3 linked regions of the Callithrix jacchus genome follow. The protein of the gene in region 1 purifies or fractionates together with the protein of each later gene. This does not show direct contact. Links are inferred from orthologs where the notes say so. Each region holds a gene or a part of one and is shown in the gene's direction. Other genes may lie near its edges.

What was found. The genes of interacting proteins can lie anywhere in the genome.
Region 2: the proteins of PPP6R1 (region 1) and ANKRD44 purify together in Homo sapiens (co-immunoprecipitation; 5 studies listed by BioGRID and IntAct, counting the BioPlex papers as one, with this or other methods). This does not show direct contact. The link is inferred for Callithrix jacchus from reciprocal best matches to the Homo sapiens genes PPP6R1 and ANKRD44.
Region 3: the proteins of PPP6R1 (region 1) and ANKRD28 purify together in Homo sapiens (co-immunoprecipitation; 4 studies listed by BioGRID and IntAct, with this or other methods). This does not show direct contact. The link is inferred for Callithrix jacchus from reciprocal best matches to the Homo sapiens genes PPP6R1 and ANKRD28.

Annotation. Positions count from the first base shown.
Region 1 is NC_133523.1:48,097,795-48,100,885, reverse strand, and holds the end of PPP6R1 (serine/threonine-protein phosphatase 6 regulatory subunit 1), read left to right. Parts: intron 1-163; coding exon 164-300; intron 301-393; coding exon 394-574; intron 575-707; coding exon 708-778; intron 779-885; coding exon 886-967; intron 968-1,480; coding exon 1,481-1,591; intron 1,592-1,675; coding exon 1,676-1,747; coding exon of another isoform or gene 1,748-1,751; intron 1,752-1,828; coding exon 1,829-1,832; 3' UTR 1,833-2,589; downstream 2,590-3,091. UniProt on the Homo sapiens protein: Regulatory subunit of protein phosphatase 6 (PP6). May function as a scaffolding PP6 subunit. Involved in the PP6-mediated dephosphorylation of NFKBIE opposing its degradation in response to TNF-alpha.
Region 2 is NC_133507.1:117,936,770-117,940,421, reverse strand, and holds part of ANKRD44 (serine/threonine-protein phosphatase 6 regulatory ankyrin repeat subunit B), read left to right. Parts: intron 1-78; coding exon 79-326; 3' UTR 327-1,338; coding exon of another isoform or gene 1,339-1,397; 3' UTR 1,398-3,652. UniProt on the Homo sapiens protein: Putative regulatory subunit of protein phosphatase 6 (PP6) that may be involved in the recognition of phosphoprotein substrates.
Region 3 is NC_133518.1:54,471,358-54,475,009, reverse strand, and holds part of ANKRD28 (serine/threonine-protein phosphatase 6 regulatory ankyrin repeat subunit A), read left to right. Parts: intron 1-310; coding exon 311-456; intron 457-1,030; exon of another isoform or gene 1,031-1,095; coding exon 1,096-1,178; intron 1,179-1,595; coding exon 1,596-1,678; intron 1,679-2,646; coding exon 2,647-2,738; intron 2,739-3,652. UniProt on the Homo sapiens protein: Regulatory subunit of protein phosphatase 6 (PP6) that may be involved in the recognition of phosphoprotein substrates. Involved in the PP6-mediated dephosphorylation of NFKBIE opposing its degradation in response to TNF-alpha.

The DNA of each region.
Region 1 (3,091 bases):
CTCAGAACTCCCTCTCCCAGCCTTTCCTGGTGTCGTCATGCCCCAGGCTCCCTGCTGGTCACTTCAGCCCACCCTCCTTGGGCTGATCCTGGCTGCAGGGAACCAGATGGTGGTTGGCTGGTCTGTCCCACACAGCTGACTGACAAGGTGGTTTCTGGGGCAGGAGTGGAGGCAGCACAGACAGTGAGGACGAAGAAGAGGAGGAGGAGGAGGAGGAGGAAGACGAGGAGGGCATTGGCTGTGCAGCCCGTGGAGGGGCCACCCTGCTGTCCTACCCCAGCCCTGGTCCTCAGCCTCCAGGTGAATGAACAGGCGGTGTGGTCAGGCATCCACAGGCTGTCGGCCTGCTGCTAAGCTCATCCTCTGCTGCCCACCCCCCCACCTCTACCCCAGGCCCCGGCTGGACCGCCACCTTTGACCCAGTGCCTACGGATGCCCTGACCAGCCCCCGAGTCTCCGGGGAGGAAGAGCTGCACACTGGGCCTCCAGCCCCACAGGGGCCCCTCATTGTGCCCCAGGGCTTCCCCACCCAGAGCCTGGCCAGCCCTCCAGCTCATGATGCCCTGCAGCTCAGGTGAGAACCAGACGGGACGGGCTGGATGGCGCTGGTATCCCGAGGCCAGGAGGTGGTCATGGCCTCCCAGTTCTCTTGTAGGCTTGAGCGCTGACCCTAGCTGCCCCCTTGGGCTGCCTCTCTCGCCTGCCAGGTCTCAGGACCCCACAAACCCCTCAGCACCTCAGGAAGCCATGGACGGCAGCAAAGTCGTGGAGCCCTCAGGTGAGCCCCTCTTTGCCCTGCCCACCTGTGGCCTTGGGCAGAGAGAGCAGCCTGGCCAGCTCTGAGCTTGCTGGGATGCTGCGGCTGAGACCTCTCATCCCCCACAGCCCCCTGCCAGGCCTTGGTCAGCGTCGGGGACCTCCAGGCCACCTTCCACGGGATCCGTTCTGCCCCCAACTCCTCGGACAGGTGAGCAATGAGGTGGGGCTTACTGTGGGGAGGGGCTGGTATCAGGAGAAGTCTTTTCTCCTCCTCAGTGAGGTGGGCTTGGGTTTGTCTTGTCCCTGAGCTGCTCCAGGTGACCCTTGCAGGACCCCCAGGCCCAGCCTCATGTCATGCCCCAGCCCCCTGCACTCTGCAGGCTGGTTCTTCTCTTAGTAGCCTGGGATGCTCAGGGCCCCCAGGGTTGGAAAAGGCTCCCTGGAGGTTGTGAAGGATTGGGAGGGTGAGAGCATGCAGGAGACCCCTTGGGGCTGTCCCAACCGGCCTCGAGCAACTCCTCCACAGGGACAGGAACATGAAGGGAGGTGCTTGTCCTCTTGCCCAGAGCTGTGCAGTCCCTCTGCACTGAGCTAGCTTCGTGCTCGGGAGGCCCCTTCTGGTGGGGCAAGTGGCGGACACCCAGTGAGCCAACTGAAATTGTCAGGGGTGTGAGGGTGTCAGCAGGTGACGCTGACAGTTGCACCTGCCTCTCACCCACAGTGCAACCAGAGACCCCTCTACCTCTGTCCCAGCCTCCGGGGCCCACCAGCCCCCACAGACCACAGATGGGGAGAAGAGCCCAGAGCCTTTGGGGCTTACCCAAAGCCAGAGGTGAGTACCAGGGCAGCGGGGCAGGGCAGGGCAGGGCTGGCGGGCAGGAAGTGACCTCTGCACATCCCCTCCCTCCCGTGACAGTGCCCAGGCCCTCACACCTCCTCCAGTGCCCAATGGCTCTGCCCCGGAAGGGCCTGCATCACCGGGCTCTCAGTGAGTGTGGCTGCAGCCTGGGGCTGGGCAGGTGGGGCTGGGCCTGCTGGACCCTCACACGACATCTCTCTCTGTTTGCAGGTAGCTGCCTGGTGTGGCAGCAGCTGCCAAATCATCCGTCCTCCCATGGATCTCCCAGGGTGGGGGCAGGGCGAGTCCCATGATGGCCCCCGTTGCCCTCATCACCTGACCCCCCCACATTCTCTCCTTTGGACCCCCAGGAGGCTGGTGCCAGGGAGACAGGCCCAACCCAACCCCATTTGCACTGAGAATAGAAGTTTTGGAGCATTGCCTCCTAGAATAAAGATAAAGAGAGTCAAATAGAGAGAATGGAGAGAGAGAAATGTCTATTATATATTATATAAAGAGAGAGAGGGAGGAGAGGGAGGAGAGGGAGAGAAGGTGAGAACACCGAGCTGGGCTGGCGGCCCGAAGCACAGCTTCCCGTCCTGTCCCAGTGGGGGCTGGTGGTAGGGGTCCAAGGTTGCCGCCCACGTGCCCAGCCATCCTACGCTCAGGCACAGATGGCCATGCCCACACCCGGCCTTTCAGCTCAGGTCCACCATGAGGGACAGCCCAAGTGAGGGTGGGGGTGCCAGAGGGTCCCGCGTGGGGGCCGTGCCTTTGCCCAGACCCTGCACTTTCAACCAGGCCAGCCCGGCTCTGGGGAGCAGGGGCCTCCCCGGCAACACCCCCAGGGTCCCTGAGGGTCTGGGGTCCCAGCCCTGTTGCCAAGTGGCCTTGTCCAAGCTCCTTCCTCCCAGGCTGGTGTGAGTGTGTGTGCGTTCGTGCCGAGCTTCTATTTCATATTGCAAATATAAATAAAGGAAGACAGTTTACGATTCTGCTGGTCAGACCGTACATTCTGGGATGCGGGGAGGGCAGCCTGTGTTATCCCTGTACCCCAGCGGTTGGGGTACTCCTAACCCAGTCTGCCCCCACACTGTGTCCTGCCAGAGGGAGCCCTGTGGCTACAGAGGCCACAGGCTGGGCCAGGCACTGGCTGTGATGGCTCCTGCCAGGCCTACCCCACCTGTGGGCAGGGCCGAGGGTGGAGGATGGAAGCTGCCATCGGGGGCTCAAATCCCTGCTCCTACCCCCCTTTGGTAACCAAGCCCAGCATTGAGGCCGGGCAGTGGTGCCCAGTATGTCTGAGTCTTTGAGCCGGAAGGTAGAAGTGTAGGCCGGTGCACAGCAAGTGGAACAGGGGAGCGGTGCCAGGAAGCCTCTGTCTCGGCTACACCGGACCATGTGGGCCGGGTCATGAGGACAGTGTCCTCACTGCGGTGGCAGCTGGTTTGGAGGTCACCTAGGGCTGGCTCAGCTAGCAGGGGAGGGTGCTTA
Region 2 (3,652 bases), on another chromosome or scaffold:
CGAGATGTACTGTGGAATGCTCGTTCCTCCTCTAGACTCCCCAGAACTAACCACTGCCTTGTCTGCATTTACGCCCAGGTCATACCCCGGCCCTGGCTTGTGCTCCTAACAAAGACGTGGCTGACTGCCTGGCCCTCATTTTGGCTACCATGATGCCTTTTTCTCCTTCCAGTACAATGACGGCCGTCAACTTCGTTTGTTTAAAAAAAGACAATTTGAGCAGGACGACCCTCTCCAATCTTGGTAGCATGGTTAGCCTGTGCAGTAACAACGTAGGCTCGGAGGATGGGTACAATGAAAATGATTCTGATTCGGAAACGTTTTGACTTTGGACTGTAGAAGCTTTTCCTTGATCACCTGTGTTGGAGGAAGGGAAAGAAGCTTGAATTCCAGGTTCATGTTGTATTCAAATATTATTTGGGGCCTGGGCTTCCAGAAGTTAGTAGATAAGGAATTAATCGAGGGAGGGCAGTGAGGCTGTTGGGTGGAACACTCACACAGATGGCCTCAGTTTGGTTTTGTTTCACGTTTTCTTTAGATCTAAGATACATCTGTGAAAGTCTACCTCTCATTTTAAGTAAAGAATAAAAGATGTATTTAATTCCTGTTCTTCAGGGATAATACAACAGAGAGGCAGCTGTTCACTCTGAATAATTTTTCTTTTCATGTATTTAGCAGTGAGTTCTCAGAAGTCTATCAGTGTGACATTCATGTCCCTGGGGAGGGAAGGGAAGAGGTAGATAGGAAATGCCTCAAACCTCTTCTTACTTTGATGTTTACTTCCTCACTAGAAGCCAAAGGTAAAGGTGTTCATCTTCAGAAATAATGCCTGTAATAATCTTTTTAGAGAGTCCTCTATAGTAAGCATTTAAATATCCAGAACTTCTTTCTGAGGATCTCTGTTAAAGTTGCCAGATGAATTGAAAAACTGAACTTGCTTTTCTTGTTTAACACAGTGTTCCCTTTAACAAGCCTGTGACTAATTTTCACTTAAGTGATTGAACCCAAATTTATCTAATAACATTTTAGGTGAAATGATATTGCACCAGAACTTTGACACAATATGCAAAATTAACATGAAACTACCCTTTGTTAATTCCCTCTTAAATCAAAATACTAACTTTTTAAAAACATCAGAATCATCAGCGTTGTTCATTAGTAGTAAACTGAGCTTCTCAGTCAAGGTCATGCCATGTGAGTAAAAAGTGTGACTGTAAAAAGGAATAAAAAAGTGAAAGCAGAAAGGAGAAATGTGTGATATAGAATGTAAAGCCAATTGCCAGTTGCTTGATGATGAAATCAACATAGTGAATACTGTGTCTGCTCCTTCTGCCAAAGCTTCTAGGTCAAATGGACCCCGTTCCACACCTGGAACAGCTATACAAAAAGAAGAATGAGACTCTTTAAACATTATGCACATGTACACACACATATATGTGTGCATGTATATATATATATATATATATATGTGTGTGTGTGTGTATGTAGTTCATCAGCTCAGCTACACATGAGGACCAAAATGCTTCAGTCTAAAACAGAAGATTTACATTCTTTTCCTTCAAAATGCAAGTGAGAACTGAAGTAGGTTTTCTATGGAGTTAAAATGTATTCTTTCTGTGTACCAGTCTTTGTTGTATTTTATATTTCTTATGACACAGATTTCTAGTTGACAGCTTAACATTTGTAACTGATGATGTGTTGACCATGGTTTTTTGTTTTGTTTTGTTTTTTTGCCAAACTAGAGAAAATGTCCATATACTTTTGATGTAAATGTGTTTATATTTATTTGAAGTGAAACAAATGGCAAGGAAACATCCATTATTTGTTCTCTATTTTAATTGCTTTGTATCTTATTTAGAATAACAAAAGTGGAAAAACACATTTGACCCTGGGCTAGCCAAAAGCCCTAAGGCCGACCCAGCATTTCCACTGCTAAGGTTTCTAGCTGACCCTCAGGTTCTTCCGCATTGGTTAGAGAGGGCTACCATAGTCTGTAGCCAGTTGAGTTTAGAAGACATTGCAGTCTGGATGTTCTTCTGTGAGGTAAAAACTCAAACATGTAGTAGATCATATACACAAAGGCAGCCCAAAGAAATATCCAGAAATTACCCTAAGTTCACTGAAAAGCTCACATAGTCTCAGTAACCTAATGGGAAATGATGGCAGTGTGTGGGCACATGTGCCAAGAGGAAAAATAAAAATCACCAGCTCAAGTGCAATTTTCTGCTTGAGGAAGAGACAGGAAAGAAATGTGTCGAATTAGAGCAGGACTCTCTGACATTTTATAATGAGTTCCAGTTCCACCCTGGAAATTTCTGTTTTATAGGATATGTGAGATATTTCAAAAATAGTGTTCTGTTATATCTGGATCAAAGACAGATAACTGTATTATATTTTTCATCTAGCTGTAAAACTTTAATCTTACTTAATATCCTGGATTTAATTAAAACTCCTGTTGGGTTCTTCACAAATGAGAACTTGTTCAAAGGACTTATTGAACTGGTAATTTTGCTGAAAATTTCCCGCACCACCACCATTGTTTTTTGAATTCCTGGTCTTGTGCTCCCCTCCTTCTATCCTTTTTGTTTGTTTAGAGAAGATGAATTTTTAAAAAGCAGATAAATTGCTAACGAGCAATAATGACCTTATCTTTACCAAAACACTGAAAATTAAGAGCGATCCAGTGTTGAAAAAGCACAATATGCTGCAGTGTCTTTTTCTAGAAGTGAATGGAAATCTTGCTCAGTTGGCATTTCAAGCAGGAAATGAAATGCCTGCTTTAATGGCAAAGCGGCGTTAACATTTTTCCTGTCAAGTAGCAGAGAGTACAAGGATCATTTCAGCAAAGCAGTGACTCACCATGAGACGTTATCTCCATGGAGCTGCGTTTTGACTTTTTCCCACTCTCTTACTCATAGAAGGAGGACAAAGGAACAAAATGAAATCATGCTCACAACAAACTGTTCATTACATCAATTGATATCTCTTTCTTGCTTTCTTTCTCCCTTCCCCCAAGACTAATTTTTTTTTAAGAAGTGACTTTAAAAACTATCATTTCTGTGTTTTGATGACATCTCTTAGAAATAAAATTATGTTTGCACCACGGCTTTCTAAGAAAAAACAAGGTGTGTTTTTACCTGAGTCTTAGTTGCTTAGTGCTTTTACTTAAGTGTTATTTTTAGACTGTATTTTAACCACAGCCACAGGGATCATGTTTCATTGCTCTTACTTATTTGCCAGTGTCTGCCTGTCTTTGGTAAATGCATTACTATCTCCAAATTGCCTAAAATCTGCTATGATTCTACAGTAAATAGCTCAGGGGATTTCTATTTATCACTACTAAAAGGGCACCATACTATGTTTTGGTACTTTAGGCAGTAAACACTGCTCGACTTATCATTTTATTATTAAATTAGAACAAGAACATCAAATGGATTTGCTGTACTCGTTATTCTTTGTACTGTTGAGCGACTTGCTGTGCTTATATGTTGTGTTGGTTGAAGAACTCATCCCTTTTTTGTCTTGTAATATGAAGTTAGAGTGCCTTTTTATATTTGTATATTCTGAAAATGTTCTGTGGAATGTTTTGTATTTTTTCATTTGAGTGTTATCAGAGCAATATGATACCAGTGAGTTTTCATTTCAACCTTTC
Region 3 (3,652 bases), on another chromosome or scaffold:
AGCAGTTATAATAGGTGGCAGTATTCCGGTCAGGATTTCTTTCAAAATTTTCTTTAATGTAATATTATTTTAGCAATTTTGTAATCTTTACTTCAAACTTGTTCTAGTTTAAGGCCTTCTATATTACTGAAAGTACACATTTCTATGGGAGAAATCAGTAAGCTCTATTGAGCCTATTTGTATACAGGCAGTGCTTTTATAGCCTAATATGTAAACCCTTGAAAACTGCTTGTCATAAATAAAAGAATATTTTTTCCAGGGTATATAACATGCTAATTTAGTCATGTATTTCAATTTCTCTTTATTACAGAACTCCTCTCCATGCAGCTGCCTTCACAGACCATGTCGAGTGTTTACAGCTGCTGCTTAGCCATAATGCTCAAGTCAATTCTGTGGACTCTACCGGGAAAACACCTCTTATGATGGCTGCAGAAAATGGACAAACAAATACAGTTGGTAAAGAAAGTTCTGTAAAATTTTATTTTCCTAAGTATGTATATTACTTACATAGAACTTAGATCGCAAAACCTCTGACTTCAACTAGTTATCTTACCACTCCTAAGACTTATAACCTTGTACCTGTTTGCAGTCTACATTTTCATTTAGAGATACAAGTTTTAGTTTGCCCTTACCGATTAAAGAGTCTGCTTTACCATGGCCCTGTACCATAGTGGTTAGAACACTGGCTCTGGAGTTGCATTGCCTGAATGTGAGTCCTACATCTTCCAGCTAAGTGACCTTATGCCTCAGTTTTCTCATTTATAAAATGAGAAATATAACAGTATCACTTTGTGGGTTGTTGTGAGGGTTCAATAAATTACTATAAATCTAGAGCATAAAAAGTATTTTAAGTTTAGTGAATAGTCACAAAATAAATGTTAATTGCCATTGTTTGTGTGCCTGACTTATATAACAATATAATTGTCTCAAGCAACTGTATGAAGATATATGTTACATATTACAGTCTTTTTCTTGTACTTAAGTTTTTGTGAGAGGGACTTTTTTGCTTTGTATCTTCATTTCTCTACAGTGAGTTATTGGTAATCTAAGAAACATGTTCATAAACATAAGAATTGATGCACTTTTTCCTCCCAGAGATGCTGGTTAGCAGTGCTAGTGCAGATCTGACTTTACAAGATAACAGTAAAAATACTGCCCTCCATTTGGCTTGTAGCAAGGTATGTATACATTTTAAGAACATGCTTTTATTGTTAATAATAACAGTGTCATTAAGTTTTTTGACTTCACTGAAATGAACACAACTCAGGACCAAACCTCTCTAATGATCACTGGTAATAGATTTCTTGAACAAAATTATTGACTTACTAGGCACCATGCGTATTGAAGTCTACAGTAAGCTATTTTGGAACACAAACCTAAGCATAATTATCCTCTTTCTTTAATCTTAATTTTGTCCTCTTCTCCTACCCTCACTCCCAAGATGTGTTTTGGCAACTACTAAGATATTGGCCAGGAAAATTCATGGCATATGCATAGTGGGGTACATATTATATGGACTAGGGTTGTGGATTTTGGGTGTATAAATTTATCTTTAATGGTGCCCAAGTTTTTATAACTATTTGCCACAATTTTAGGGTCATGAAACTAGTGCCTTGTTAATACTGGAAAAGATAACAGATAGAAACCTCATCAATGCAACCAACGCAGCCTTGCAAACGTGAGTACTGTCGGTGTCTAGTGTAAACTTTTCTACCTATAATTATAAAAATGATAAATGAATTTTTTTAAACGTGACTATTGAAATAGGTATCATTAGTCATAGAAGCAATTTCAGTAAGTTTTACAACTGTCCAAACTCATTTCTAAAATCATCACAACTGAAAGGCATATTACTTAAAATGCTTTTGAACTGAAACTTTATTACAACATTGACAATAATGTATTTTTTCCTTAATCCACCTACCTACTTTTCTCAAGAAAAGGTGGTACTATTTTGTGTATTTTATGGAAATCAACCGTAATATGTTACTTGAAACTAACAATGAATGAAGTAAAAAGCTTTATATGTGTCTGTAAGCCAATAAAAGAATCAAGTTTTTAATAATGTGAGTAGCCAACCTCCAAATTGACTAACAGAAATCTTACATTAGTGTCTCATTGTCCTTTGCTATTCCATTTTGAGGTTTGATAAAGATAAAAATCTTATTGTTTCCCATTCTGGGATTAGTCAGATCCCTTGAAGGTCCAAAAATTAGTCATGATGCTTGTAAGCCGTTTTCAAAGCCTATTAGAATTTGTGCTACTGCAATTTGCAATTTTTAATATATAGTCTATGTCTTTACCAGCCTCATTTTTTAACAATGGAGGAATGCAATTTCAATGGTAAAATCTGTTTAAACGTTGAGTCTGAGAAGAAAAGTAACAAAAGAAGTGGGTGAATGTAGGGACCTTGTTGATGGGACCCATGGCTAAACTTGATGTCAAGCTACACGTTGACAGGTGTGACAGTACACTGTACAGATGTTCTGCTCTCCCTGCCCCCATCTTTGTTATTAGGACTAGTTATCTTGAGTTTGTACCTCTTGGTCTTCAAAACTTGACAGAAATGCTCTTTGACAGCCAGGTAGTATTTGTATGTGTATGCGCATGCACATATGTGTACACGTATCATGTTTTTTCCTCTAGACCTCTGCATGTTGCTGCCCGAAATGGGCTAACAATGGTGGTTCAGGAACTTTTGGGAAAAGGAGCAAGTGTGCTTGCAGTAGATGAAAATGGTAAGTTGGTTCTGTGTTTTCTTTTCTTAACCTAGAGCTTTTATTATTTGAAGAGAAACAAATTTGGATGTTATTTATTGGTCAAAGAGGAGAACTGAAATTAATATTGAATTGTTTGTGGCAAAGGAACAAGGGCAAAAGAAGTAGGAAAAGTTACCTAACAGATGAACTTCTGATTTCCTGTTATCATCTGTTAAACCAAAGTTAGTGTTTATTGTTTATATTTGCCGCTTTTTATTGTTTTAGTAGCCCAAGAGTTTGTTCTTTCTGCAAATATTTATTAAGACCCTACTTAAGTGCTATATTCTTATTTAAAGCCAGTGCTTCCACTCATGCACCAGATCCTGCCCCCTTTTGCCTACTTCATAATGTCACTTTGACAGTTCTCATTTGTGTCCTGCAGTGACAATTTTTTGCTCTCTCCCCTGATTATTCCCCTCGGTATATAAACATTAGTTCCCTCATCTTTAAAAAAATATTTTATAAATCTCACTAGTCCTCCCAGCTACTGCCATATTTGTTTCCCTTTGCAACAAAACTACTCTCTTGCTGTCCCCAGTGATTCTCCTCTCCTCTCTCATTCTTCCATTCTCTCTCTCTCTTTTTTTTTTCTTTTTGAAACAGAATCTAGCTCTGTTGCTCAGGCTGGAGTGCAGTGGCGTGATCTCAGCTCACTGCACCCTCTGCCTCCTGGGTTCAAGAGATTCTCGTGCCTCAGCTTCCCCAAGTGGCAGGGATTCCACCACCACTACACCGAGCTAAATTTTTTGTATTTTTAGTAGAGATGGGGTTTTGCCATGTTGGCCAGACTGGTCTCAAACTCCTGACCTCAGATGATGTGCCTGCCTCAGCCTCCCAAAGTGTTGGGATTACAGCCACAGTGCCTGGCCTCATTCTTCTATCCTCTCTTAATT